Linked DNA regions of Stegostoma tigrinum. The protein of the gene in region 2 purifies or fractionates together with the protein of the main gene of each other region. This does not show direct contact. Links are inferred from orthologs where the notes say so. Each region holds a gene or a part of one and is shown on either strand. Other genes may lie near its edges.

What was found.
Region 1: the proteins of blnk (region 2) and btk purify together in Homo sapiens (affinity purification with western blotting; 5 studies listed by BioGRID and IntAct, with this or other methods). This does not show direct contact. The link is inferred for Stegostoma tigrinum from reciprocal best matches to the Homo sapiens genes BLNK and BTK.

The regions. Positions count from the first base shown.
Region 1 is NC_081368.1:71,921,892-71,937,657, reverse strand, and holds the start of btk (tyrosine-protein kinase BTK), read right to left. Parts: upstream 8,453-15,766; 5' UTR 8,364-8,452; intron 1-8,363. UniProt on the Homo sapiens protein: Non-receptor tyrosine kinase indispensable for B lymphocyte development, differentiation and signaling. Binding of antigen to the B-cell antigen receptor (BCR) triggers signaling that ultimately leads to B-cell activation.
Region 2 is NC_081373.1:40,741,287-40,757,290, reverse strand, and holds the start of blnk (B-cell linker protein), read right to left. Parts: upstream 5,670-16,004; 5' UTR 5,549-5,669; coding exon 5,474-5,548; intron 5,063-5,473; coding exon 5,000-5,062; intron 1-4,999. UniProt on the Homo sapiens protein: Functions as a central linker protein, downstream of the B-cell receptor (BCR), bridging the SYK kinase to a multitude of signaling pathways and regulating biological outcomes of B-cell function and development.

The DNA.
Region 1 (15,766 bases), on a different chromosome or scaffold from region 2:
AAAATGTTGACAGTTTTTTTGATTGTTATGAATTTTCAGTTGGAATACATTCTAATCCAAGTTCTAACTTTTTGTCTGAAGTTTTCCGAGCATCATCAGCAGCTTGTACATAAAACAGTTGAAGTCAATTACATATTACCCATACATACAAGGAGGTTTGAAGAGATACCGTCAGACTCAAAAACATGATTGAGGTTTCAGCCACAATTAACGAAAGGATTGACAGAAAGGATTAGATTTCTTATGACCCACTACCAAAGATTACAAAAGCTGATCTACTGGATTTAGTCCATTTGAATTGATTTATGGCCTTGCGTTAAGTGGTCCATAACCATTACTTAAGGAAAAGTCAACTGGCCCAGACTGAATTCTCAAGAACAAGGATAACTTATCCTAAATGTCCAAGATAATTTAAGTGTTGCCAAGAACATCAAGGGTGAAGGCTCTATTAGAATACACTATTCCAAAAATAAATAGGAAATCATGACATCTTTAAGAACACGTGGGTTCTACCAGGAATTTGTGTGTAAATTCAGCAGCATAGCTATGTCTTTAATGAATTTGTTACAAAATCAAAGAAATGTGGTCTGGTCAGCAGAATGCCAAGCACCCTTTGAGAGATTGAAGGCAATCATAACAAATGAATTGGCATTAGCTACTTCTGACTTTATCAAACTTTTTAAAGTGGTGATTGGTGCTTGTGACTTCGGGAGAAGTGCAAGATGATGGGTCAGGAATAGAAGCATTGGTGAATACTTTTCTAAGAAACTGTACCAATGTTTTAGAATCACAGAATTCTTACAGGACAGAAGTCATTCAGCCCATTGTTCCTGTACCAGTTTTTCAAACAAAGATTTTTACTTAGTGTTAATCTCTTACATTTTTCCATGCCCTTACACACTATTGCTATTCAAATAACCCGATAATGCCCTCTTGAATGCCCCAATTGAACCTACCAGCATCACATTTCCAGGCATGGAATTCCAGTCCCTAACTATTGACCGTGTGAAAAAGATTCTTCTCCCATCAGAGATAGCAGGAACAGCAGATGCTGCACAATCTGAGATAACAAGGTATAGAGCTGGATGAACACAGCAGGCCAAGCAGCATCAGAGGAGCAGGAAGGCTGATGTTTTGGGCTAGACCCTTCTTCAGAAATGGGGCAGAGGAAGGGGGTCTGAAATAAGTAGGGAAAGAGGGGGAGGCGGATGGAAGATGGATAGAGGAGAGGATAGGTGGAGAGGAGACAGACAGGTCAAAGAGGTGGGCATGGAGCCACTAAAGGTGAGTGTGGGTGGGGAAGTAGGGAGGAGATAGGGCAGTCCAGGGAGGACGGACAGGTCAAGGGATGAGGTTAGTAGGTAGGAGATGTGGGTGGAACTTGGGGTGGAAGGAGGGGATAGTTGGGAGGAAGGACAGGTTAGGAAGGCGGGGACAAGCTGGGCTCGTTTTGGGATGCGGTAGGGGTAGGGGAGATTTTGAAACTTGTGAAGTCCACATTGATACCATTGGGCTGCAGGGTTCTCAAGCAGAATATGAGTTGCTGTCCCTGCAACCTTCGAGTAGCATCATTGTGGCACTGCAGGAGGCCCAGGATGGACATGTCATCTGAGGAATGGGAGGGGGAGTTGAAATGGTCTGTGACTGGGAGGTGCAATTGTTTAGTGCGAACCGAGAATAGGTGTTCTGCAAAGCAATCCCCAGCCTTGGAATGCTGTGTACCACATTAGCAGTTGTGCAGGTGAACATCTGCTTGATGTGGAAAGTCTTCTTGGGCCTGGGATGGGGGTAAGGGGGGAAGGAGTAGGGGCAGGTGTAGCACTTCTTGCGGTTGCAGGGAAAAGTGCCAGATGTGGTGGGGCTGGAGGGGAGTGTGGGACGACAAGGGTGTCCTGGAGAGAGTGATCCCTCCGGAAAGCAGATAAGGGTGGGCAAGGAAAAATATCTTTGGTGGTGGGGTCAGATTGCAGATGGCGCAAGTGTCAGAGGATGATGCATTGGCTCCGGAGGTTGGTGGGATGGTACGTGAGGATGGGGGGGATTCTGTTTTGGTTGTCATTGTGGGGAGGGGCTGTGAGGGAAGAGATGCGGGAAATGCGGGAGACAAGTCTACGGCATTCTCGACGACTGAGGGGGATAAGTTGCAGTCCTTGAAAAATGAGGACATCTGAGATGTGCTGGAGTGGAATGCCTCATCCTGGGATCAGATGCGGTGGAGGCGAAGGAATTGGGAATAGGGGATGGCATTTTTGCAGGAAGGTGGGTGGGAGGAAGTGTATTCTAGGTAGCTGAGGGAATCGGTGAGCTTGAAATGGATATCCGTTTCTAGGTGGTTGCCAGAGATCTCTCTGCACTCCAATGCATTCATATCTTTCCTATAACGTGGTGTCCACATTGTACACAATACTCCAGCTGAGGTCTAACAAGTGTCTTCCAGAAGTTCAACATCACCTCCTTGCTCTTGTACTCTGTGCCCTTATTTATAAAGCTGAGACCACTGTATTCTTTATTTACTGCTCTTTGGACTTGCTCTGCCACGGTCAATGATGATCTGTGCACATACAAACTGAGATCCTTCTGCTCCTGTTCCCCCTTTTGAATTGTACCCACTATTTTATATTGGCTTTCAATGTTTATCTGACCAAACTGAATCATCTCGAACTTTATCTGCCACCTATCCACCCATTCCACCAACTTAATTGACATTTCGGAGCTCCACACTTTTATCCTTGCAGTTTACAATTGTTCCAAGTTTGTTTGCTGTCTGAAAACTTGGAAAGTCTCCCCTCTCACCATTGAATTCTGGCATAAAATGCAAGCGTCCCAATATTGATCCCTGGAGAACTCCGTTACCAAACATCCTCCAGCCCAAAAGATATCCATTTCCTATCACTCAGCCAATCTGTATCCACATTGCTCCTGTCCGTTTTATTATGACCTATAATTTTCCTCGCAGGCTTGTTGTGTGGCAATGTATCAGATACCTCTGAAAATCTTTGTACACCATATCAACAATATTATCCTCATCAAGCCTTTCTGTTACTTTTTCAAAAAACTCCAGCAAGTTAGTTAAATACGACATTCCCTTTGAAATCCATGCTGACTCTTCCTAAACAACCCAATTTTTCCATTTGGCTCCTGATTGTATCTTGAATAATTATTTCTAGAAGTTCTTCCACCACCAAAGTTAAACTGATTGGTCTGTAATTTCTGGGATTAGCGTTCCAGCATTTCTTGAAAAAGCCATAGTGTTTGTAATTCTTCAGGTTTTTGGCTCCTCCCTAGAGTCTTGGGAAGATTGAAAGATCATGCTAGTGCCTCTGCAATTTCTACCCTCACTTCATTCAAAATCCTTGGACGTACTTCATCCAGTCCCAGCACTTAATTCATTTTCAGGACCAATTGACTCTCCAAGACTTCTTCCTTATTAGTTATGACCCCTTCTAGGGACAGAATTTCCTTTTCTATCATGTGGTCTAGGCAGCATCCAGTTTATCTTTCACTATCTACTATAGAAAAGGAGACTTTTGGATTATTATTAGCCCATCAATATTTTGAAATCTACTTTAACCATAACAGCAATAATACAATAATCTATATTGACCATAATCCACTGGCATTCATTGAAAAGTTTAAATTCAAAGTGCCAGACTCTCTGGATAATGTCTATCGTTTCACCATTCAATGGAAAGATTATTCATATTGCTGGAAAAGATGACACCTCAGGATCACAGAGTCAAAGAACTGTTGTGGCGCAGAAGGAGGCTGTTCAGTCCATTATGCTTGCACCAGTCCTATGACCTATTGCCAATCTCCTGCCTTTTCCATTTCCCTGCACACCTTTACTATCTAAATAATCATCTAAAGCTCTGATGGAAACCTAATTTGAACCTGCTCCATCGCATTTCTAGGCGGTGGATTTCATATCTGAGCTATCCACTAATCTGATCACAAATGCATTGTTCTTAGTGTAAAAAGACTGAATAAGTTAAAAGGTTTAAGAAATGCTGAAACATTGCATAACATTGGATAGGGGGTAGGAAGGATGAATGAATGTAAGTCTTTTGTTTTGCTGTTTATGTGTCAGATATCTTGAGATGAAATGCATTCCTTAATTTTTTTTCCCTTTATTCGGTAGGATGGCATGGTGGCTCAGTGGATAGCACTGCTGCCTCACGGCGCCAAGACCCAGGTTCAATTCTTGGGTGACTGTCTATGTGGAGTTTGCACATTCTCCCTGTGTCTGTGTGGATTTCCTGTGGGTATTCCAGTTTCCTCCCACAGTTTGAAGATGTGCAGGCTAGGTGGACTGGCCCTGCTAAATTTCCTGTAGTATTCAGGGATTTGTACATTAGGTGGATTTTTACGGGGATGGGTCAGGGTGGGATCCTCTGAGGGTTGGTGTTGACTTGTTGGGCCAAAGGGCCTGTTTCCACGCTAGGGATTCTATGAAGTCATTTATAGAATGAGAACGTCGCTGGCTAGGCAGCATTTATTGCCTACCCCTCATTGCCGACCAGGCAGTTAAGAGTCAACCACGTTGCTGTGGGTCTGGAATCACATATAGGCCAGACCAGTTAAGGATGGCAGTTTCTTCCCTATAGGACATTAGTGAACCAGATGGGTTTTTTTCCAACAATCGACAATGGGTTCATGGTCATCACTAGACTCTTACTTCCAGAGATTTATTGGAATTCAAATTCCTTCATCTACCGTGGCAGGATTCGAACCCTCTGGGTCTCTGGATTAACAGTTCAGTGATAATACCACTAGGCTATCACCTCCCCCTTAATCTATTGTTTAATCTTTTGTAAAGGTGGTGGCATATAAAGATCATATCTCTTTACTCTTCCTTGTTTCGGATTGTGGATCAAAATTGGAAAAAAGTCTTTTTTTAAATCAAGGGCTGTGGACATAGATGCTGGATTTATAAAACCAAGTTACTAGAACTCATCGTGAGTTGTGTTTGTACTGTTGCTTTGTTCAAGCAGTGGGGGAAGATGTTTGAAACTCAGTGTCATTATTAACTCGACATTGACCCTCTAGAAACAGAGACTGGGAAATTATAAGGGGAACCAGGAAAAGGAGGTGCTGCTGAATAAATACTTTAAGTCAGTTTTCATGGTACAAGACAATGATAGTATTCCAAAAATGCTAAATTAGCGAGGGGATAAAAGAGGAAAGGAAAGATTTACAATCACTATCATTAGAACAAAAATACAAAGGAAAATAATGGGGCTAAAGACCAATTAATCCCCAAATCTGATGACTTATAGCCAAGTACACTAAAGGAAGTAGTTACAAAGATAAAGGATGGACTGATCTTAATCTTTCAAAAACTTTTGGATTCGTTAAAAATTTTAGAGGATTGGAAGACTCCAGGTAGCCTCTCATCATAACTGAATCACTCCAGCCTAGGCAATATCCCAGTGAATCTCTTCTGTAGCTCCTCTAGAGCAATCTCTACAGCATGGAGACCAGAAATGCACATAGTACTCCAGCTGGGGCATTATATATATATTATATAACTAACATAATAACAGCTCCATCATAAGCTCCCTGCACTTGTATTCAGTGCCTTGATTAATAAAGGCAAGTATCCGATATGCCTTCTTAACAAACTTAACAACCTACCTGCCCAGCTGCCATCAAGGATCTATGGATATACACACCAAGGTCCATCTCGTCCTCTATATATCCCAACATGCTACTTTTTAATTAGTCCTCCCAAAGTACATCACCTTACACCTTTCAGAATTAAATTTCATTTCCCACTGTTCAGCCCATTTGACCAGCCATTTCAGGCTTTCCTCCTCACTTATTGAAAACACCACTAACTTTCATGTCATTCATGAACTTATTGATCATATTTCTTACAGTCATGTCTAGATCATTAGTGTACACAACAAACAGCAAAGAACCCACCACCAGACCTTGTGGTATGCCACTGAATATAGGCATTCAGTCACAAAAACACCCTTTATCATCACCCTCTGACCCTAAACCAATTTTGGATCCAATTTGACAAATTTCCATGAAACCCGTACATGGTTACACTCTTACCCAGCCTGCCGCAGAATACTTCATTAAAAGTCTTACTGAAGTCCATCAGCATCAATTTTACTACCCTTATCTACACACCCAGTTCACTCAGAAAATTCAATCAAATTCGTTAGGCATGACATCTGCCTTAGAAAGCCATGTTGCCTATCATTGATTAACCCCTACCTCTCCACTTGAAAATAATTCTGCTTCTCAGAATTTTAATATCTTCTTGCATGATATCTACTGATGAAGCATGTATTCCCAGGTGCTGTCTATTGATGGAGAATGTATTCCTGGGAGCTGTCTATTTATGGGGTGTCTGTTCCCGGGTGCTGTCTGTTGATGGGGTGTGTGTTCTGAGGTGCTGTCTGTCGATGGGGTGTGTGTTCCTGGGTGCTGTCTGTTGATGGAGTGTGTGTTCCTGGCTGCTGTCTGTTGATGGAGTGTGTTCCCGGGTGCTGTCTGTTGATGGGGTGTGTGTTCTGAGGTGCTGTCTATTAATGGGATGTGTGCTCCTGGGTGCTGTCTATTGATGGGGTGTGTGTTTACAGGTGCTGTCTATTGACGGAGTGTGTGCTCCCACTGGCTGTCTATTGATGGGGGTGTGTGTTCCTGGCTACTGACTATTGATGGAGCGTGTGTTCCCAGGTGCTGTCTGTTGATGTTGTGCAGGTTCCCGATTGCTGCCTCTTGATGGAATGTGTATTCCAGAGTGCTGTCTATTGTTGGGTGTGGGCTTTCAGGTGCTATCAATTAATGGAAAATGTGTTCCTGGGCGAACATAAACATAGAGCAGTACAGCACAGGAACAGGCCCTTTGGCCCACCATGATGATATTCGAAACTAATGCCATATGCTTGCTCGTAGTCCATATCCTTCTATTCTCTACCTGTTTGTGTGTCTATCTAAATGCTTCTCAAACTTTGCGAATGTATCTGCCTCTACCACCTCTCCTGGTGTTCCAGGCACCCACGACTCTCACTGTCAAAATTCTTTTCTTACACATCTTTAAACTTGCCCCCCCTCAACTTAAATCTATGGCCCCTAGTATTTAACATTTCCAAACTGGTTAAGAGATGCCAATTATTCATGTCTCTCATAATTTTAGATACTCAGCCTCTGACATTCTCATGAAAACAATCCCTGTAACTGGCTAATACATTTGAATCCAGTTAACATCTAACATCTTAGCAAAGCTCTTTTGCACCCTCTCCATCGCCTTCACATCCTTCCTTCGTGTGGTGATTAGGACTGCACATACCCCAAATGTAGCCAAACTAAATTCTAATACAGCTGCAACATGACTTGCCTACTTTTATACTCAATGCCCCAACCAATGCCGTACACCTTCTTTACCACCTAAGGGTCTGGTCAGTTACAGTTTACTATCTCTTGGCTGTTTGTTGATGGGGTGTGTGTTTCTGTGATTCTCTATTCAAGACTGAGATTGATAACTTTAGACTGAAGGGAAATAGGGAGAACAGTAGAAATTTGAATTGATGGCCATGATCTTTCCAAATGATGGAGCAGGCTGGAAGAGCAGGACTCTGTACACCCATGTCCGTTTCTCATGGCCTCATGAAGGGATCTTTCAATCCAACTAAAAGGACAGGCAGGCCATCCTTTTAATCCCATATCCAAATGATAGCTCCTCTCACAATGCTTGATCTGTACTTGTTCATCTGTTGGTGTGATCTTTGCAAGTTTTTGAGATTTACATTTAAGTCAAGGTGTAACCTATTATCCCAAAGGTAAACACTAGTGGTTTGGGAGCTAAAATTAAAATGAGGAATTGCAATTTTAATGCCAGCCTCCTTCATCCTCTCTTCAAATAACTCTTTTGTCTGTGGCAAAAGCTGAAGTGCTGGGTTTATTTGCACATTTACTGATGGTTTTGAAAGGATCACACCTTCAGTGAAGATGGATAAAGCTTTGCCACACTGCAGACAGGGGCAGCTTTACAGCCGTCAGAGCCTGTAATTTACGGCACAGATACTGAAGGAACCTGGGGCTGGAACGCACAAGTGAGATTGTAACCTCAGTCCCACTCCCAAGCACATTGCTTCACCAAGGGACAGTAGAATCAAAGAGGCCTCTCTCCTTAATTATTCATCAAACAGGACTGGTTTGCAGAAACACAGATCAAAAACATTTGCAGTTCTGCAGTTCCCCAAATCCAAACTAAACAGGAAAATGAACCAACCAACAAAATAAGCTACTCTCCCCACACTCACTGTGAAAATACATTGAAATGAATAGATTATAACTGAATCCACACATTATTATACTGCCCAACATAGACTCCCTGTTTCACTTACCTACAAGCTATCCATGCACGGCAGGGATCAGTTTAGCTGTCTTCCCTGCCTCTTTAATTTCTCTCAGACAATGTTAGCTCCACCCTGTGCCAGGAACTAACAGATAAGTTCCTCATTTCCATCAGAGGGCAGTTTTTATTTAAATTAATTTGTATTTACATATCCAGTGCTGCCCTCTTCTGTTTGCTGTCTCTCTGTAGCTAGTGCCTCCAGATATTTACCTCGACAACCTGTTCAAAGGTGTTATGGCCAGAGATAATGGGAACTGCAGATGCTGGAGAATCCAAGATAACAAAGTGTGAGGCTGGATGAACACAGCAGGCCAAGCAGCATCTCAGGAGCACAAAGGCTGACGTTTCGGGCCGAGAGCCTTCATCAGAGAGGTGTGGTGTTATGACACAGCTCTTGAGTGCGTCGGACTTGAACCCATGCATCCTGGCCCAGAGGTAGAGACACTACCACTGCACCACAAAAGCCTTCACAAGCTGTTGCCTGCAAACTAATCACTCGTTTTCGCGTTAGAGGTAACCTGAGGTAGCATTGAATCAGAAGGTAAGTTATCTTTGATGTCATCACAACAGGCATAAAAGGCAGAAACTTTTCCAAAGAGCAGACACCTTTACAATGGAAAGGTTAACATGAAATTTTGGTACACGATTCCATAGATGCATGAAGGTGTGAGCACAGGTAGATACTGCATATGAATGGCTGCCTTCATTAGCCTGGTTGTTGAATATAGGGGCAGGAAAATCTTGTAACAACTTTGTAAAACATTCGTTTGGCCACAGATGAATATGTGCAGTTCTGGTCATCACATAAATGAAAGGGTGTGATTGCACTGGAAGGGTTGCCGACAAGATTCACCAGGATATTGCCTGGGATGGAAGGTCTCACTTATGTGGAGTGACTGGATAAGATCAGAAATCACATGACACTAGGTTATAGCCCAACAGATTTGTTTGAAAATACATGCTTTCAGAGCTTCACTCCTTCTTCAGGTGTTAGTGAGAGAGGTAGTATCAGACACAGAATTTATAACATGCAGTTATAACCTAGCATGCATTGTCCAACCTAAAATGTCACCTCTTATTTACAGTGATAAAACCTTTAGTTCTCTCAGGACAATGACTTGAAAGGAATTCAGGAATTTACCTACACATATTAATCAATTAAAACCTTCTAACTGAATAAAGATTGAACAGCATCTTAGGCTTGGTTAAATAAAGCATAAAATTCTGTGTTTGATACTACCACTTTCAGTAACACCTGAAGAAAGAGCGAAGCTCTGAATCTTGTCCACTCCCCTTCCAGTGCCATCACATCCTTTCGATTATGTGATGACCAGAACTGCACATATTCATCTGTGGCCTACCCAATGTTTTACAAAGTGGTTACAAGATTTTCTTGCCTCTTTATTCAACACCCAGCTGTGTTCAACTAATCTCCTGCTTTTCTGCCATCACTGCATCTCTTCTCTCCCACAACAATGGTCTTTGCTTACCATCCCACCAGACTTTGCGCCCCAAATGATCATTAACTGCTGTTTCTGCCAACTCCAGGAGGACACCATGACCAGACACATTCCGTTGTCAGCCTACCACAGGGACCATACCCTCCCTGACACTCCGGTCAACTCTTCCTCAACTCCCAGTATCTCCTCACATCCCAATGGCACCTTCCCATACAACCACAGAAGGTGTAATACATGCCCATTTACTTCTTCCTTCCTCACTATCCAAGGTCCGAGACACACCTTCCAAGTGAAGCAGCAATTTTTCTGGACTTCACTCAATCTAGTCTACTGCATTCACTGCTCACAATGTTTCTCCTCTTCATAGGGAGGATAAAACATAGGCTGAGTCACCACTTTGCAGGACACCTACGCTCTGTCCCTAAGAATGATCCTGAGCTTCCAGTTGCCTGCCATGTCAACACATCACCGTGTTCCCATGCCACCATTTCTGACACAGGCCTGCTGCAGTGTTCCAGCGAGCATCAGTGCAAGCTTGAAGAGCAACATCTCGTTTTCCACTTGGGGACCTGCAGCCTCTAGGACACAAAATTGAGTTCAATAACTTTAGAGCCAGATTCTATCCTTCCATGTATTTTACCACCTTACATTGGACCTATTGTGACATTGGTTGCTTTTAGCACTGTCACTCATTCCCATGTACTCCTCGGCCTATTGTCATATTATATGGTATACTGTCAGTACAGTTCACCTATTCTCTCCTACTCTTAGGTCTTATTTCACTTATTCAGCCTTTCTTCTGTCCAGGCCTGCTATCCATAACCTTCTTGTTTAGCTACCCTTTCATATCTCTTTCTGTCTCTCTCTGGGCTCTGTATCCACTTATTTGCTCACCTCTGCCCTTCCATCTCCCCCTCCCTCCATACCTAACCTCATCTTCAGCATAAATATTACTTTGTCTGAACTACTAACAATTCTGAAAATGGGTCACCGGACTTGAAATGTTAAACCTGCTTTCTTCCCACAGATGCTGCTGGACCTACATGTGTTTATGTTTCAGATCTCCAGCATCCACAGTTTTTTGTTTTACTTTTTGGTGAATATGGAACACGTTGCCTGGTAGGGTGGTGGAGACAGATACACTCACAGTATTTAAAAACCATCTAGATGAGCATTTAAAATGCTAGAATGCATAAGGCTATGGATCAAGTGCATGTATCTGAGATTAGTGTAGTTTGGTATTTTTTGGATGACCTGGACATGGCGGGCTGAAGGGCCTGTTTCTATGCCGAATAATGCTATGACTACGAAGTGGTGATTGTGGGTTCAGAAGGCAGGAGTTCACTAGCTGTGAATTAGAAGCTAGCATTATAGCAGCAGCTGGTTGTTCCAACGTCATAACGTCCAGGTCAGCAGTTTAGGCTCAGGACCTAATTCACTTAGGAAAGGGACCTTGCTGTGAATGATAGCTTTGAGGAGCAGGAAAACCAGCTTGAACAGATCAAGATTGAGGAAGTTGATGTGCTGGAAATTTTGGCAAACATTAAGATTGATAAGTCCCCAGGGCCAGACCAGATTTATCCTAGGTTGCTCAGGGAAGCAAGAAAGGAGGTAGCTCAGCCGCTGGCGAAGTTCTTTGCTTCCTCACTCTCCACAGGAGTTGTACAGGAAGATTGGAGCGAGGCAAATGTTGTTTCTCTTTTCAAGAAAGGGAATAGGGAAATCCCTGGAAATTACAGACCAGTCAGTCTTACGTCTGTGGTCAGCAAGGTTTTGGAAAGAATTCTGAGGGGTAGGATTTATGACTATTTGGAAAAGCATAGTGTGATTAAAGGGAGTCAGCGTGGCTTTGTGAGGGGCAGGTCATGCCTTACAAATCTTATTGAGTTCTTTGAGGAAGTCACGAGACAGGTTGACGAGGGTCGAGCAGTGGATGTGGTGTACATGGAATTCAGCAAGGCATTTGATAAGGTTCCCCACAGCAGGCTCATTCATAAAGTCAGGAGGTATGGGATACAGGGTGATTTGGCTGTCTGGATTCAGAATTGGTTGGCTGACAGTAGGCGGAAAGTGGTTGTAGATGGTAAGTATTCTGCCTGGAGGTCAGTGTTGAGTGGTGTCCCACAGGGCTCTGTTCTTGGGCCTCTGCTCTTTGTAGTTTTTATAAATGACTTGGATGAGGAGGTTGAGGGGTGGGTTAGTATGTTTGCTGATGACACAAAGGTTGGAGGTGCCGTTGATAGTATCGAGGGCTATTGCAGGCTTCAGCGAGACAGTGACAGAATGCAGAGCTGGGCTGAGAAATGGCAGATGGAGTTCAACCCGGACAAATGCGAAGTGACGCATTTTGGAAGGTTGAACCTAAGGCTGAACATAGGATTAAAGGCAGGATTCTCAGCAGTGTGGAGGAACAGCGGGATCTTGGTGTTCAAGAGCATAGCTCCCTCAAAGTTGCCACCCAGGTGGGTAAAGTTATTAAGAAAGCATATGGTGTTTTGGCTTTCATTAACAGGAGGATCGAGTTTAAGAGCTGCGAGGTTATGCTGCAGCTGTACAAAACCCTGGTGAGACCACACTTGGAATATTGTGTCAAGTTCTGGTTGCCCTATTATAGGAAAGATGTGGAAGCTTTGGAGAGGGTGCAAAGGAGGTTTACCAGGATGCTGCCTGGACTGGAGGGCTTGTCTTATGAGGAAAGGTTGACTGAGCTTGGACTTTTCTCTCTGGAGAGGAGGAAGAGAAGTGACCTGATCGAGGTGTACAAGGTAATGAGAGGCATGGATGGAGTCGATAGCCAGAGACTTTTCCCCAGGGCAGGATTGACTGCTACGAGGGGTCATAGTTTTAAGGTGTTAGGAGGAAGGTACAGAGGAGACGTCAGAGGGAGGTTCTTCACCCAGAGAGTTGTGAGCGCATGGAATAGTTTGCCAGTGGTAGTTGTGGAAGTGGAGTCATTAGTGACATTTAAGCGAGTGAATTGAGGGGAATGTAGGTTAGGTTATTTTATTTTTGGATTAGGATTATTCCACAGCACAACTTCGTGGGCCGAAGGGCCTGTACTGTGCTGTACTTTTCTATGTTCTATGTTCTAGAAATGTGAGTACCAACATCAAGCCCAGAGTGAGTGGCTTACCAGAGGCAGTTTGGAGGAGTGGAACATGTCTATTCAGTGCCTAATTAAGCTTCAAACTAACCTGATTCTAGTTACATTAATGTCAGTGACCTCCCAGTCCTTGATCACCTCTATTATATCAATGAAGTTCCACGTAAGATTAAGGAACAACACTTCATTCTAAATTTGGTGCCTAATAGTCCTTCAGACTTCTTTTGAGTTCAACAATTTCAGATTGGAACCATTGTCACCAGCCGGAATTCTGTTACATTGACAATCCCTCCAGATTTATTAGATTTGTCTCAAGATCCTGCCGTGCACAATCATCCCGTCCCTTACTGACTCCCACCTTCTGAGTTTAGATCTTCTATTTTGGTCTTTCCTCTACATCTGATCTCTCATTGTTAAATCACTTGTCCTGACTCACTGATTCAGTGTGCTGGAAATTAACACCCATTATTCCTGGAGTCATCATAAAAGTTAAAAATTTTTAAAAACTTCACAAAGTTCCCCAATTTACCTAATTTTCAGACTCAGGTTAACAGAAAGCATGCATCAAGTTTCTGTACTGAACAAAAAATATTATTTGTTGCAGGTAATTAAAATATGGGTACAGGTAGTCATTATAAGATGTCAGCATGTAACTCGACTAATTAATATTCCAAACCCTCTATTAACTCCCCCTTACACTCACACACGGACAGACTGAGACAGAAAATAAATATAGAGTGAAGGACTGGGAAGGTAAGTCAGTGATCCCTGATAACAGAAAAGATTCAATTGAAAAAAATCTTTTGTTTCTTATGCAGGTCAGAACTTTGCTTCTCATTCTTCCTTCTCTCGATGCTTTCATCAGTTTGCAGGAAGTACAGTGGCTTGTCCATACTTATAAGTCTCTGACTTATTAATTGAAAGCCACAGTGAACAGCAAATGCTCCAGGCTTAATTTTATTTCGGAGAACAGAGAGCGCTCCTGAGCTGGTGAAGACCTGAAAGCCTTTCTCTGTAACTTTTTCAGCAACTAGAGATCCAATCAAATAGTTGTTGGAAAGCAGAAGACCTTTGTCACTGATAACTGATAACTGATAACTAGTCACTAGTCACAGATATGGCACAGAAAAGGCCCTTCAGCCCATCAAATCTGTACTGACAAAACTACCATAAAAAGTGTGCTAATCCTAATTTCCTGCACTTGACGCAAAGTTCTGAATATTATGATATCTGAAGTCCTGATCCAAATTTGTTTTAAAGGGTTCCAGGCTCCACAACCTTCCAAGACAGTGCATTCCAGATTCTCACCAATTATCCACAGACCAATTAATTTATTGTTGCCAACCAAACACTATTTGTATAGTACATAGAACATAGAACAATACAATGCAGAACAGGCCCTTCACCCCTCGATGTTACACCGACCTGTGAACTAATCTAAGCCCCTCCCCTTACACTATCCCATCATTATCCATATGCTTATCCAAGGACTGTTTAAATGCCCCTAATGTGGCTGAGTTAACTACATTCCATGCCCTTACCACTCTCTGAGTAAAGAACCTGCCTCTGACATCTGTCTTAAATCTATCACCCTCAATTTATAGCTATGCCTCCTTATAAAAGCTGAAGTCATCATCCTCAGAAAAAGACTCTCACTGTCCACCCTATCTAATCCTCTTGATCATCTTGTATGTCTCTATTAAATCCCCTCTTAGCCTCCTTCTCTCCAATGAGAACAGGCCCAAGTCCCTCAGCCTTTCTTCACAGGGCCTGCGCTCCAGACCAGGCAACATCCTGGTAAATCTCCTCTGCACCTTTCCCAATGCTTCCACATCCTTCCTGTAATGGGGCGACCAGAACTGCACGCAATATTCCAAATGAGGCCACACTAGCGTTTTGTACAGTTGCATCGTGACATCACGGCTCCGGAACTTAGTTCCTCTACCAATGAAACCCAAAACACCGTAAACCTTCTTAATAGCCCTATCAACCTGGGTGGCAACTTTCAGTGATCTATGTACATGGACACCAAGATCCCTCTGCACATCTATACTACCAAGAATCTTTCCATTGACCCGGTATTCTGCCTTCCTATTATTCCTCCCAAAGTGAAACTCTTCACATTTGTCGTATTAAACTCCATTTGCCACCTTTCGGCCCAATTCTGCAGTTTATCCAAGTCTCCCTGCAACCTGCAACATTCTTCCACACTGACAACCACTCCACCGACTTTAGTGTCATCTGCAAACTTACTAACCCATCCACCAATGCCTGCATCCAAGTCATTTACAAAAATGATAAAAAGCAGTGGTCCCAAAACAGATCCTTGAGGCACACCACTAGTAACCGGACTCCAGGCTGAATATTTTCCATCAACCACCACTCGTTGCCTTCTTACAGAAAGCCAGTTTCTAATCTAAACTGCTAAATCTCCCTCAATCCCGTGCCTCTGTATTTTCTCCATTAGCCTACCATGTGGAACCTTATCAAAGGCTTTACTGAAGTCCATGTATACCATGTCAACTGCCCTACCCTCATCCACATGCTTGGTCACCTTCTCAAAAAACTCAATGAGGTTTGTGAGACACAAACTGCCCTTGATGAATCCATGCTGACTATCTCCAATCAAATTGTTGCTTGCTACATGATTATAAATCCTATATCTTATAATCCTTTCCAAAATTTTTCCTTGAACAGACATAAGGCTCACAGGTCTATAATCACCTGGGTCATCCCTACTGCCCTTCTTGAACAAGGGCACAACATTTGCAATCCTCCAGTCCTCTGGTACTAAACCTGTAGACAATGAGGACTTAAAGTTCAAGGCCA
Region 2 (16,004 bases):
GGCAGAGTAAATAGAAAGATAGATGAGGATGGTTTTGAATCTGAAAAGAACAAGTTAACTTAGAAAAGACAGACAATAGCAAGTCAGAGAATGAAATAATTTTGAATAATTAAACTGCATTTATTTCAACGCAATGGGTAAGGCTGATGAACTCATGGCATTTTTGGGATTGGGACATCATAGTTATTATAGAAACCTTGCTGAGGGATGGACATGAGTGGTACCTCAATGTTCCAGATTTCAGATGCCATGGAAAGGATAAAAAAAGATAAAACAGGAGGGGATGTGGCATTTTTGATTGAGGAAAACACTACTGCTGTAACTAGAAGATATTTCTGAAAAATCATCTAGTGAAAATGTACAGGTTGAAGTTGGAAATAAAAAAGGAATGATCACCTTGTTGAATTGTACTATAGATCCCTGACAGTCAGAGGGAAATTGAAGAACAACTACGTAGAGAGACCTCAGATATATGCAAGAATAATAAGGTTGTAATAGTTTAAATTTCCCAAACATTGCCTGGGACCACCATTGTGTCAATGGTTCGGATGGTGAAGAACTTGTTAAATATGTTCCAGAAAATTTTCTTTATCAATATGTAAATGTTCCTAATAGAAAAGGAGCAAAACTTGATCTTCTCTTGGGAAATAAGGCAGGCCAAGTGACTGAAGTGATAGCACAGGAACACTTTTTGTCTAGCGATCATAATTCTATTTGTTTTAAAATAGTTAAGGAAAAGGATAAGCCTTCCATAAAAAAGTTAAAATGTTCTTAGTTGGAGTAAGGCAAATGTTAATTATAGGAGACAAGAACTTTCAAAATTCATTGGAGTAAATTGTTCACAGGAAAAGGGATGTCTGATGAGTGGGAAGCTTTCAGAAGTGTGATAGCAAGACTTCATAATCATTATGTTCCTGTGAGAGCAAAAAGGTACAGCTGGTAGGATTAGAGAACAAATGGATGAATAAGGATATTGTGGTTTGAGTCAAGAGTAAAGAGTAAAGAAGAATCATATTAGGCAAGATTTAGGGAGCATAGGATGGGGAAGGAAACTGCAGGGGATGGGCGCATTAGAAATGTGGAGCTTATTCAAGGAAAAGCTCCTGTGTGTCCTAGATAAATATGTACCTGTCAGGCAGGGAGGAAGCTGTAGAGTGCGGGAGCCGTGGTTTACGAAGGAGGTGGAATCTCTGGTCAAGAGGAAGAAGGCGGCTTATGTTAGGATGAGATGTGAAGGCTCAGTTAGGGCACTTGAGGGCTACGAGGTAGCCAGGAAAGACCTAAAGAGAGAGCTCAGAAGAGCCAGGAGGAGACATGAGAAGTTGTTGGCGGATAGGATCAGGGTAAACTCTAAGGCTTTCCATAGGTATTTAAGGAATAAAAGAGCGACGAAAGTAAGATTAGGCCCAATCGAGGATAGTAGTGGTAAGTTGTGTGTGGAGTCAGATGAGATAGGGGAAGCGCTAAATGAATATTTTTCAACAGTATTCGCTCTAGAAAATGACAATGTTGTCGAGGAGAATACTGAGATACAGGCTACTAGACAAGGTGGGATTGAGGTTCACAAGGAAGAGGTATTAGAAATCCTTCAGAAGGTGAAGATAGATAAGTCTCCTGGACCGGATGAGATTTATCCTCGGATCCTCTGGGAAGCCAGGGAGGAGATTGCCGAGCCTTTGGCATTGATCTTTAACTCGTCATTGTCTACAGGAATAGTGCCAGATGACTGGAGGATAGCAAATGTGGTTCCCCTGTTCAAGAAGGGGAGTAGAGACAACCCTGGTAATTATAGACCAGTGAGCCTTACCTCAGTTGTTGGTAAAGTTTTGGAAAAGGTTATAAGGGATAGGATTTATAATCATCTAGAAAAGAATAAATTGATTCGGGAGAGTCAGCTCGGTTTTGTGAAGGGAAGGCCGTGCCTCACAGACCTTATTGAGTTCTTTGAGAAGGTGACCAAACTGGTAGATGAGAGTAAACCAGTTTGATGTGGTGTATATGGATTTCAGCAAGGCGTTCGATAAGGTTCTCCACAGTAGGCTATTGTACAAAATGCGGAGGAATGGAATTGTGGGAGATATAACAGTTTGGATCGGAAATTGGCTTGCTGAAAGAAGTGGTAGTTGATGGGAAATGTTCATCCTGGAGACCAGTTACTAGTGGTGTACCGCAAGGGTCGGTGTTGGGTCCACTGCTGTTTGTCATTTTTATAAATGACCTGGATGAGGGCGTAGAAGGATGGGTCAGTAAATTTGCAGACGACACTAAGGTCAGTGGAGTTGTGGATAGTGACGAAGGATGCTGTAGGTTGCAGAGAGACATAGATAAGCTGCAGAGCTGGGCTGAGAGGTGGCAAATGGAGTTTAATGCAGACAAGTGTGAGGTGATGCACTTTGGTAGGAGTAACCAGAAGGAAAAGTACAGGGCTAATGGTAAGATTCTTAGCAGTGTAGATGAACAGAGAGATCTCGGTGTCCATGTACACAGATCCTTGAAAGTTGCCACCCAGGTTGACAGGGCTGTGAAGAAGACATACAGAGTTTTAGCTTTTATTAATAGAGGGATCGAGTTCCGGAACCAAGAGGTTATGGTGAAGCTGTACAAAACCCTAGTGCGGCCGCACTTGGAGTATTGTGTACAGTTCTGGTCACCGCACTATAAGAAGGATGTGGAAGCTTTGGAAAGGGTGCAGAGGAGATTTACTAGGATGTTGCCTGGTATGGAGGGAAGGTCTTACGAGGAAAGGCTGAGGGACTTGAGGCTGTTTTCATTAGACAGAAGAAGGTTGAGAGGTGACTTAATTGAAACATATAAAATAATCAGAGGGTTAGATAGGGTGGATAGGGAGAGCCTTTTTCCTAGGATGGTGACGGCAAGCACGGGGAGGGGGGGGCATAGCTTTAAATTGAGGGGTGAAAGATATAGGACAGATGTCAGAGGTAGTTTCTTTACTCGGAGAGTAGTAAGGGAATGGAAAGCTTTGCCTGCAACGGTAGTAGATTCGCCAACTTTAGGTACATTTAAGTCGTCACTGGGCAAGCATATGGACGTACATGGAATAGTGTAGGTTAGCTGGGCTTGAGATCGGTATGACAGGTCGGCACAACATCGAGGGCCGAAGGGCCTGTACTGTGCTGTAATGTTCTATGTTCTATATTACATATAGACAGCTGGCTTCGAATTAATCTATTGAACAGTATAAAAACAGCCTAGGAACATTTTTAACACAGAGATCAGGAAGGCAAAGAGAGGATACAAGATAGCCTTGACAAATAAAAGATTAAGGTTAATCCAAATATTCTACATAATACATTACAAGTGAGAGAACAACGAGAGAGAGAGAGAGAGAGAGAGAGAGAGTACAGCCCCTTAAAGATCAAACAGATCATCTTTGGAGTTGAAAACGATATTATAGGAATATTTTGCATCAGGTTTTACTGTTGAGAGAGAAATGGAGGCTAGAGAACACAGGGAAATAAATATTGATGTTTTGAAAACAGTTCACATTACAGAAGAGGAAGCGCTAGAGGTCTTAGCAAATATAAAGTGGATAAATCTCCGAGACTTGAACTAGGGGACCCAAGACACTGTGGAAGTCAGGGATGAAACCATGAGGCCCTTTGCGGAAATATTTGCTTTGTCTATAAATTTGAGTAAGGTACCAGAAGACTGACAAGTGTCTAATGTTGTGCCTTAGTTTAAGAAAGGATGCAAGGAGAAGTCTGGGAACTATAGACCAGTAAGTCTGACTTTGTTAGTGCGTAGGTTGTTTGAGGTGATTCTAAAGGATTTAAATGCATTTGGAAAGGCAAGGAATGATTAAGGATAGTCAGTATGGTTTTGTGCGAGGGAAATCACACTTTCACAAACTTGATTGACTCTTTTGAGGAAGTAACTAAGAAGACTGATGACGGCAGATCAGGAGGCATTGTTTACTTGTTTAGTAGAGCTTTTGACAAAGTTCTGTGTGGTATTTCTTTAAATGACTTGAATGAGAATATATAGAGGGCATGTTTAGTCAGTTTACGGATGACGCTAAATTTGGTACTACAGTGGACAATGAAAATGTCTGACAAAGAAGGTACCTGAGATTACAAAGAGATATTGATCAATTGGGTCAGTGAGCTGAGGAGTGGCAGATGGAGTTTAAATTTGGATAAGTGGGACGATTTGCATTTTGGTAAAACAAACAAGGGCAGGACTTATAAAATTAAAAGTAGGGCCTTAGGTAGTGTTGTAGAGGAGAAAGATCTAGACCTCAGGTACATAATTTTTTGAAAATTGGCATCACATATAGACAGGGTGTTTAAGGAGGTGTTTGGCATGTTTGCCTTCATTGCTCAGACCTCCGAGTATACGAGTTGGGCTGTCGTGTCTTCTGGAGTACTGTGTCCCGTTCTGGTCACCCAGTTATACGAAGGAGGTCATTAAACTGGAGGGGGTTCAGAAGAGATTTACCAAGATGTTCTCAGGAATAGAGGTTTGAATTATAAGAAAAGGCTGGATATTTTTCACTGGAGTGCAGCATGTTGAGGAGTGACCTTACAGAGGTTTATAAAATCATGAGGGGTATAGGTTAGGTAAATGGAAGGTATCTTTTCCCTGGAGTGGGGGATTTTAAAGACAAGGGGCTATATTTTCTAAGATGAAATGAGTAAGATTTAAAAAAAAACATTAAGGGCATCTTTTTCTAAAAAAAAGTGGTTCATGTATGGAATGAACTTCCAGAGGAAATCGTGGATGTGGGTATAGTTACAACATTTAAAAGACATTTGGGTAAGAACATGATTAAAAAATGTTTGGAGGGATAGGGGCAAAGCGCAGGCAGGTGGAACTAGTTTAGTTTGGGATAATGGTCAGTGTGGGCTGGTTGGAGAAAATGGTCCATTTCCACGTTGTATGCCTCTTTGAAGAGGCATGTAAGTTGAAAACTCCAAGGACAAATAAAGATGACATTTCAACTTTATGAAGGAAAGCATATTTTTATCATTAAACTTACCAAAAGCATTGTCCCAGAAATTTTGTGCCTTTCCACCACACTGGCAGGTTCACTTAAATTATTCTGTGTATAAGTGAGAAACAAGGAAATATTTAGCTTCAAATATTAGCTTGTCCAAAAGTCACAATTGATCTAAGTCCAAGTGATATATTTGAGGCAAAACCTTGCATAATTAACAATGGGCTTTAGGTTTATAATTGGAATAAGTGCGTCAACAAGAGATCACATCTCATCCTCCAATGGCACTCCTTGTCCACAATAATGTTTTTTACCTAACAAAAAAGTAACCTTCCTGGATTGCCTTAAATATCTATTGCAGTTTCCCCCCCCCGTATATTCGCATTTATCTTGTCACGTTTTTGTGAGCTATCGCTGTGTATAAACAATTCTTAAAGTGAAACGAAGGCGACGGTTTAACAGCTACTTAAGCCTGTATGAAATTTGTATTTAAACGAGAGGAAAGTTCCGTCTTACCAGTCTCAGGAATTCTGCTAGCTCCCTAGGTCTCCAACTTTCAAACTCTTCCCGAGTTGGTAACTTTGTGGCCATTGTACGCTGCAGAGCTCGCTACCTCGGCCTTTGATCTGATCGTTGTGTTTTTACTTCTGATAACTAATTCCTGCTCCGCTCTCTCCCGGTACAAGGCGGAAGCTTTCAAGACCTGGAGTTCACAGTATGCAATGGGACTCCCCCCACGTCTATTTCACGCAATCGCATGTTAGTCTGACCAAAATGACGGACAGTTACAAAAGAAATTTGGAGATTATACCTGATGGACACCTGAATTGCTGAGAAAAGTCGTCAGCTGCTAAAGTGTAACAAGCAGCTGTAGAGGGCTGTTCACCATTCCGCTTGTTATATTATTACATATAGGAATATGGATATATTTTCTGACATGAAGCTTTTTGGTGCTATTTTTATCACGCTTTTACGTTGATTTCAGTTTATGGTGCAAACGAAATGCATAAATATTTTGGAATTATATAAATAATGCAATTATTTGTATTTTTTGAGGGGTACATCTGAGATGACATTTATACGCCATCCCGAATCATCCTTAAAGAAGGTATTGGTGAGCCTCAGCCTGAAGCTGTTGTAGTCGCTGTGGTGTAGAGTCTCCCTCAATCCTGCTAGAGATTTAGTACGGTGAACGCGCATTCAATGAGTAATGTCACACCGCTCAGGTTTACTGCAAAGTAGAAAGTAAATTTTCCAAACCTGTCCAGTATTTACAGGGTCAGGTCAGGTGTGAGGTGGAATATTTTTGCCTGGAACAGCAAAACTCAACAAACTCAACACCATTCAAGACCAAGAAGTTTTCTTGGTTGGCACCCCATCCTCTGCCTTTCATATTTATTCCCTCCACCACGGGCACAGCGGCAGCTGTATGTACCATCTACAAGATACACTGAATCAACTCACCAAGGGTCCTTCAACAGCGCTTTCCAAACCTACAAACTCTGCCATCAAAAAGGACATGGGGTAGCAGATGCTTGGGAACACCACCACATGGCAAATTCCTCTTGAATCCACACATCATTCCTGACTTCCCTGAACTCCCTTCCTAAAAATATTCTGAGTGTACCTACACCCATAGATCGCAGCAGTCCAAGAAGGCAGATCACTACCACCTTCTCCAGGGCAATAATGGTGGGCCTTAATGTTGGCTTACCCTGTAATACCAACTTCCCATTAATGAACAAAAAGAAACATTTATCTTTGTACAAACAATTCCGTTTGCCAATTCCTGAGCAGCTAATACAGCACTGCATAGTGACCTCAGTGTCACATGCAGGTGCGTTCTCTACATCTGAAGATCATGAATGGACGCTATCACGAGCTCACTGATGTACATGAGTTAATGTAATCTAATGTAGTGAAACTGGGCATCTGGCAGTATCTTTGTTATTCACTGCTAAAATCTCAAATATTGTGACATGGCAGTGCCAGTGTTGGAATGGAATGGACAAAGTCAGGAGTCACATGCTATCAGGTTATAGTCCAACAGGTTTATTTGAAATCTCAAGTTTTCAGAGCACTGCTTCTTCATCAGGTGAAGCAGAGGGAAGCGCACAGCCACAGAATACATGGGTGGAAATATAATGGCAAAACAATTCCAGGTAATTAAGATTTTTTAACAGATTAGTACAGGTAGTGTTTGGGGGGTGTTGACAGGCTGAATAACAAGTCTTTGCAGGTGATCTAAAGTGTCAACAGCTGAATAACAAGTGAAGGATTGACCTATGAACCAATTGATTGAGGCAATGAGATAATTACATCATTAAGTGAGAATGCCTTAATAGGTTACTCCAAACTGTTTGCAATCTATTAGACTGGAGTTAAAGGATCAGTTTTAGTCATGGGGAGAGGAACAGTCATTGAGAGAGGTCGTTCCACTTCAAATCAAATGTTTTTAAGGGGTCTTCTTGACAGTTTTATTTTGCATGATACTGTTGATATTTGACCTTTTTTTGGTTTTCAGTAGCTCCTTTTTGTTCTCACTTACACCTGGTGAAGGGGCAATGCTTTGAAAACTTGTGACTCAAATAAACCTGTTGGACTATAACCTGGTGTCATCTGACTTCTGATCTTGTCCACCCCAGTCCAACACCGGCACCTCCACTGCATTTTATTTTTATCTGCTGCTGTACTATTGTAGTAATGTTACTTCTGAATTTGTGTTAACATATGGGGTATTTGGGGCTCATACAGAAGCAAAATGAAAAGAATTTGTCAATATCCACAATAATCCTGCCTGCTCTGTTAAACATAATGTTACAACTCATGAGGAAATCATTAACACTCATGACATTAAAGTAATTAATGATACCGGGACTAAGTCAGAAACATTGCCTTCTGAAGTGAACACCCTGAAATATATTTTTATATAGAAATAGCGAACAACCTAAAGATACTTCCCAAGGACATGTGAGGCCACTGCTATGTGGTTATATGTATGGCTCCAACACAGTCAATGCATTTTTCACAATTTGTAGCATATTGAGATGTTTTGAAATGTAGCAGCACGGTGATTCGATTTATTATTGTCACAAGCAGTGATGTACAGTGGAAAGTATTGTTTTGTGTACTAACCAGACAAATTATACCTTACACAAGTACACCAGGGTAAGAGAACAGAAAACAGAATATCATATTACAGCTACAAAGAAGGTTCAGAGAAAGATCAACTTTAATACATGAGAAGTCTAGTCATAAGTTTGATAACATCACTGAAGAAGCAATTTTTAAGTCTTTTAGTATGTGTTTTCAAACTTTTCCATCTTCTTCCCAATGGAAGAGGTTGGAAGAGTGTATAACTAGGGTGGGAGGGGTCTTTGCTTATGTTTGCTGCTTTCCCACGGCAGCAAGGAGTGTAGATGGTGTCAGTAGAAGGAAGGCTTTTTATTGTGATGGACTGGGCTGTACTCACAACTCTTTTAGATTAGATTCCCTACAGTGTGGAAACAGGCCCTTCGGCCCACCAAGTCCACACTGCCTGTTGGAGCATCCCACCCAGACCCATCCCCCTATAACCCACACACCCCTGAACACTGCGGGCAATTTAGCATGGCCGATCCACCTGGCCTGCACACCTTTGGACTGTGGGAAGAAACTGGAGCACCTGGAGAAAACCCATGCAAACACAGGGAGAACGTGCAAAGTCCGAACAGACAGTTACCCAAGGCTGGAATCGAACCCGGGTCCCTGGTGCTGTGAGGCTGCAGTGCTAACCACTGAGACACCGTGCTGCCCCAGTGTAATTTACTCGGTGTAATTTCTTGTGGTTTTGGAAAGAGCAGTTGCCATACCATGCTGTGATGCATGCAGATAGGATACCTTCTGTGGTGCATCTGTAAAAATTGATAAGAGCCATTGTAGATGTGCTGCATTTCTTTCGCTTTCTGAGGAAATAGATCTGTGGGTGTGCTATCTTGACAGTGGTGTTGACGTGTGTGGACCAGGATAGCCCTTTGGTGATATTTACTCCGAGGAACTTGAATCTCTCGACCTCCATCTCAACACCATTGAAATGGGCAGGGGCATGTCAACCTGAAGTCAATGACCAGTTCCTTTGTTGAGGCAGAGATTGTTATATGAATTAGATATTATAATGTATAATAAATATATAATAACTAATATTATAATATATGATATATATGGTATAATTAAATACCACTGTGGGTCAGCATGGTGGCTCAATGGTTAGTACTGCTGCGTCACAGCGTCAGGGACCCAGATTCACTTCCAGCCTCAGGCAACTGTCTGTGTGGAGATTGCACATTCTCCCTGTGTCTGCGTGGGTTTTGTCCCACAGTCCGAAGACGTGCACGTTAGGCGAACTGTCTGTGCTAAATTACCCATTGTGTCCAGGGACGTGTGGTCCAGATAGATTAGCCATGGGAAATGCAGACTTATAAGGATAGGGATGAGTCTGGTTGGGATGGTCTTTGGAGGATGTGTGTGGGGTTGTTGTGTTGAATGGCTTGCTTCCGCACTGGAGGGATTCAGTGAATTCTATAATAAAACATAAATGCAAATCTTCATCTTTGCAGCTCATCACTCTCCTTTTTCATCTCCTACCCCTGCTTGCAGCCCCTTGTTGTCTTTTGTGGTTCTCTTCCCCCAAATACAGTCCCTCTTCACCCTTTGCAGGTCCTCTCTCCATTTTGTGACCTTCTTTCCCCTTTGCAGAAATGATCTCCTTTTTGCAACTCCTCTCTCCCCCCTGCAGCATCTCTTTCCACTTTGCAGCACTCTACCTCACTTTGCAGACTTTCTTGTTCAATCTTTTCTCCCCTCCCTCATCCTCATCACAGTCAGTCTCTAACTACACTCCACTTTTGTTCCAGGTGGCCAGCCTCAATTCCACACAGACACTGATTTTCCCCCCACCCCCTGCCCCCGGCCTGCCTCCCCTGTCATTTTGGAAGCATCTTTTCCCAGGCCCTGAAATCACCTGGCATTCTTCCCCTCCTAAAGCAGCCTAGCACCATGGCCTGTCCTTCCCTTTTACTGCACGGAGACTGGGTTTTATTTACATGTGCAAGTACACTGGCTGTGACCAGCCACATCTGACTCAGTCTCTGAAGTCACGACTCTCTGAATCCCCGTTCTAATTTTCTTTTCTTTTTTTCTCCTCCTTTTTCTCATCCACCACACTGCCATTGTATAGAAGTAGTGCTTACATTTTCCCCACATTACCAGTGATTTGCATGTGTGTGCAGTGACTCAGTAAAAAAGACGTCATTGGACAAGAACTTCATTCAGTATTTCCACCACCAGAATAAAACACTCAGGTGGCCACTGAACCATTATGAAGCAAAACCCAAAAAGGACAATGCTTACATGAAGAAAAAGTGAAGGGAGAGAATAAGGATCATCCCCTGTTTATATCTGTCAACCAGGGTTCCGTGATTAGCTCAGGTTAACAATCCCAATCAAGGATCCCACAGCCAATGAATTCAACATGGTTCCAATCACTAATCCAGGGGAGTAGCTTTGCTCTCCATTACTACTACCTTCTGTCTACTGCTCCAACCACAGCTGCTTCTCTCCTTTATTTGCTACTGTGAATCTACCGGCAGCAAGTATATAAAAAGAGAACAGCCTGTGTTTGAAGGAACAACTTTTCACCACTTCTGTGCATTCTATTTATGGGCTCAACTTTCCTCTGATTATTGGTTCCAATGACTGAAGTTTCCCACACACTTGTTACTCACAGGTGCTGTCAGCTATGAGAAGCTGGGAGCTCTTTGAAATAACGGGAGCAGTTTGCTGCAGCTGAAATTTGGGGCCCAAGGAAGCCTGAATGTAATATTTGCTTGGTGTAGCCCATGAAAGTGGAGTTTGGAAAATTTCAGGAGCTGTGTCAGCTAAGTGGTGCTGGCTGTGTGCAAATGAGACAAAGTCATGCGAGTAATTAAAAGCTTGAGTTCAGTTTGCAAGTTCAGTAGAACACAGTCTCAGAAGAAGAGATTGAAATACTGGGAGGTGAGCAGCCATTGAGTTGGTCTGAGCTGGGGAAACCTTTGAGGAAATATGGAGGTTTGATCTTCAAAAGTGAAGAACTGAACTTCATTGTGAAGAAGACAGTTTTAATGAGCTTTTGTCACTAAGGAGTGAACCATTTCAACTCCCCCTCCCATTCTTTAGATGACATGTCCTCCTGCAGTGCCACAATGATGCCATCTAAAGGTTGCAGGAACAGCAACTCATATTCCACTTGGGAACCCTGCAGCCCAATGGTATCAATGTGGACATCACCAGCTTCAAAATCTCCCCTCCCGCCACTGCATCCCAAAACCAGCCCAGTTCGTCCCCTCCCCCCACTGCATCACACAACCAGCCCAGCTCTTCCCCTCCCCCCACTGCATCCCAAAAACCAGCCCAGCCTGTCTCTGCCTCCCTTACCTGTTCTTCCTCTCACCCATCCCTTCCTTCCCACCCCAAGCCGCACCTCCATTTCCTACCTACTAACCTCATCCCACCTCCTTGACCTGTCCGTCTTCCCTGGACTGACCTATCCCCTCCCTACCTCCCCACCTATACTCTCCTCTCCACCTATCTTCTTTTCTCTCCATCTTTTCTCTCCATCTTCGGTCCGCCTCCCCTTCTCTCCCTATTTATTCCAGAACCCTCACCCCATCCCCCTCTCTGATGAAGGGTCTAGGCCCGAAACGTCAGCTTTTGTGCTCCTGAGACACAAGTTAAGCTGAGTTCATTAAATCATAATTAAATAAAACCAGTCTGACTTGAAAAAGAAACATTTATATCAAAAAGGATTGAAACCAGTCAGGCTGGAAGAAGCCTCTAAACCCCTGATGTATTTCCACCTTTATTTCCAAAATATAAACTTTTCATGAAAAAAAGTCAAGGAGACCAAAATTGCACAGAGTACTCCAAAGTGTGATCTTACCAAGGTCCTGTACAATTGCACAGGACATCCCTGTTCCGCTACTCACATCTCCTTGCGGTGAGGTCAACTTGCTATTTCCCTTTTCCATTGTCTGCTAGATCTGCCAGCTTACTTGGTACAAGCACTCACTTGGTAAAACAGAAATATTTTCACTTTGAGTTATTCATCTGTGGATTTATCTTCCCCAAAAAACCACAGAGGTGGGATTGGTGAATATATTAAAGACTGAGTTGCTGGATGAGCAGGTAGGAAATTTGAGTTAAGGCCAATCAGATCAGTCGTGATTTTATTGACTGGCAGAGCAGATTTGAGGGAGCGAATGGCCTGCACCAGCCCATAAATCTTCCAATTTTTTGTTTTTGCATTCTCTCAGATTACCAAAAGTTAGCCAAATTCCAGTTTGCTGAAACCAGTCAGGCTTGAAGAAGCCTATAAACCCCTGATGCATTTACACTTTTATTTCCAAAATGTAAACTTTTCATGAAAAAAATGTCACCTACAATTATCCCGCTTGGAGACAATGAACCTTAACAAATACATGAATGAGCTCTCTTTCAGGAAAAGTTTCTCTCTCGTTCTCACTGTTTTTTTAAGGAAGGACAAATTCTAGTGATGAAGTGAATAAAGAAAGATCTTAGCATTGATGACTCCAAGATATTTCAAATATTCATATCCTTCACTGAGCCAGGACATACATAACTGACCGAGGTCTCAGGTTAAAATCTAACGCCTTGAGACCACTCTAAGAAATGAAACTGCCTGTTTTCTAATCTTCCTTTTGTACATTATGCTATCAGTCATTTATCTTTGTAACTGCACTTGTGTGTGTATTTAATATTGTGTCTACATAATTTTTCTTGGAATCCGGCACTAATAAAACACTCTTCCTTTTACTCAAGAAAACCTTGTAATTGGTTACTTATTGTTTCTGCTGAACTAATCAACTGCAATTAGAGTAAGGCATGGCTGTGTGCTGAAAATGACATAACATCTTTGTTGCTCCCAAACGAGGAGGTTAAAAAGAGTGGAGTCAATTCATCCCTCTTTACCAGGTTGTAACATCAGAGTCAAGCATCTTGGTTGCTCTTAGAATGAAGTCAAGTGTAGAAGATAGAGAAAGTACCATCTAAATCACAAAGGTACCAACAGCATAACTAGTTAATTTTCCTGACAGAATAATCAATGGAAAAGGCACAGAACATTCTGGAAGACATCACCTATGTGTAATTTTGACAGACTAAATTGTTTTTTTTAAATTCTATTTTATATAAGTGGGATTTATATTTATTAGAGCAGCATACCACTAGAATCTAGCTTTATTTGTGAATACTCAGTATTCAGAAGGGGTTTATTTAGTTTGTTAATACCTCAGTTAATTTGTTCACTGTTAGAGTTAAGATAAATAAATTGTTTCTTGTTGATTTTAAAGTGAGTATCAGGGAATTATTTTATTTGACCCCTAGAAGTTGCTGAAAGGCAGGTTATACCACTTCTCACACTCCTACAGATTATATAGGGTGAAACACTCCTCTTTGGGTATTTCAGTTTTTTTTTCAAGGGGTGGTTGACCTCCGCTTTATAAAAGAATCGAAAGATTGGATTCCAATTAGATACTCCAGAGCAATTCCTTTAAATTAGCTAAAGATATATATGATAGAGTTTTGTGACCTATCTACCATGCACCGAGCCCCATTCTGAAGGAAACCCTTTATTCTAACATGCATAAACCTCTGCCTGAGCTCTTTGAGGCTCCACATGGGATCTATCCCACATTTTAACCACACGAAACTATTGTTGGGTCATTACTTGAATCTGCAATTAGGGCTAGAGTGATGGAACATCTCAAAAGCTTTCATCCATTCAGAGTGCACCACATGGGTTTGTAAATCACAGGCTGGCCTGATGGATGAGTTTGAGTTCTTTAAAATTTGCCTCAAGTACCGGACAAGGGAATGGGTAAAGACATTATGTTCTACCTGGAAGCATTTGATAAAGTCCCTCTTAAAAGACTGATAGCTAATATTGGAATTCATGGATTGAAGGCAAGTTATTGGTCTAATTAAGAAATTAATTGCGTGTGGGAGATAACAATTAGCAATAATGAGCAGGCACTCAGGAAGTGGCTCATGATGTGTCGCAATGTGCTGCAACTATTTACCATACTTATAGTGATTTAGATAGTGGGATAGAAAGCCTCATAACCAGACTTATCAATAACTAAAGATTAGCAGCATTTTAAGCAGTATTGTTGAAAGCGTAAAACCATAAAGATATATTAATAGATTAAGTTAATAAAATAAAAACTGGCAAATGCATTTTGGTGTAGGAAAATATGAGGTAGTCCACTATGGGGCTGTAAAGGAAAAGAACAAGGTATTTCCTAAGTGGTCGAAAAGTAGGGACAATGGAAGACCACTGAGATTTGAGAGCCCGGGTATAGAAATGAGCAAAATGGCATTAAATGAGGTAGAAAGTAATAAAAAGGCTAGTGGATGGCTAATCTTTTTATCTCAAGTATATTTGAATTTATACTTGAATATAAGAGATGGAGTAAACAGAAAGCTCAGGGGGATAGGTGACTTCATGAAATTAGGTTGCAGATCAATCATGATCAGATTTAAAGGGTTAGATCTGTTTCAATGTTATTCTGTTCCTAATGTAGATTATGTGTATTTTTAAACATTGAGATCAGACTGAGGAATCTTGGCATCAGCAAAATGTGTGCAACACTGCATGGTATTTCAGGTCTAATTTTCAGGTTACGACCACACTAGCAGCTCCAGGTCACTAACTTCATTGGTCATTGACATGTTTTAGCAAAAATAAATGATGATGAAAGCCGAACACCACTATCAATCAGGAAAAAAAGGATTAACCATTGTATATTTTAGGATTCAGCTCAATGACCACTCCAGTGATCTGTTCTACAATGAACCAATATGTCTTTCTCTCGTGTTGTCTGGACAAATATTTCCAGATTTGGAGATAAAACAGGGCATCCTTGCCACTATGTTCTAGTTTATCGAAATAGGTATTTATACCTATTATATATACAATTTAGTAAATCTGATCCACATGAGAAATTGGAAAATACTTCTCTTAACACTGAAAAGGTAAATGAACATTATTCAATGTAAACATCTTTCAACATTTGTTATCCTCCTCTTGAATGCTCCCAAATTGAATTGTTCTGCTGCTGCAATCTGTGATGTCAGCTGCTTGGGTCTTAAGCTCTGGAATTTCTTCCTTGAATTTCTCTGACTTCTCATCCTTTCAGGCACTTCTTAAATTCTGTCTTTTTGGTTTAGTTTTTGGCCATCTATCCTTTTTTTGTAGCTTGGTTCATATTTTGTTTGATAGTGCTCCTGTCTGTCATGGCGAAAAAACTACATTCATTTATAAAAGAGGTTACAGGAGGGCACTTTGACAATCTTTGCAACAGAATCTTCCCTTGCTGGATGTGATGGTGAGAGAGGGCACTGAGCAGGGCAGCTGGAGCAGTTGAATAGACTCTCCCTAGAGGAAAGGCTGCGTTCGGATAAAGGAAGCCCGATGAGAGAACTATCAGACAGATAAAGGATTGCCTCAACTGGATGTAAACCATGGGTTTCCTGGGTAAATACTGTGCCTTCTTTTTTAACTTAAATCTCCCTTCATGTCTGTAATGATCCGATACCATTGGAATAAAGAACCTTTGCTTAGTGATCTTTAGGCCGCCCATATGTTCATATCACATGGGTGGAATCTTACAGCGGTCTGAGCAATTGTGAGATCTGTGATAGAATTTGACGAGCAGTCCATTAAGGCCCATTTCAATGTTGTGAGCATGTTTGCTGCGTCTTTTATGCTTTCCACAAATGGCTGAGTTTTTCTTTGCGTAGTGGTGACTTGCAATTAAGAGGATTGTTGCTTGTTAAATACCTCATTTACAGCTCAACTCACCTCATTAACATTCAGCTTTCTGTCTTAGCAAATACACCAAACAAGCTAAATGTAGAGTAACCGAGATGGAGACCAAAACAGGAATCTGGCCCTTTTAGCTCATCGATTGCTCTGAATGATATTGGATACTGAGCAGCGATATCCTAC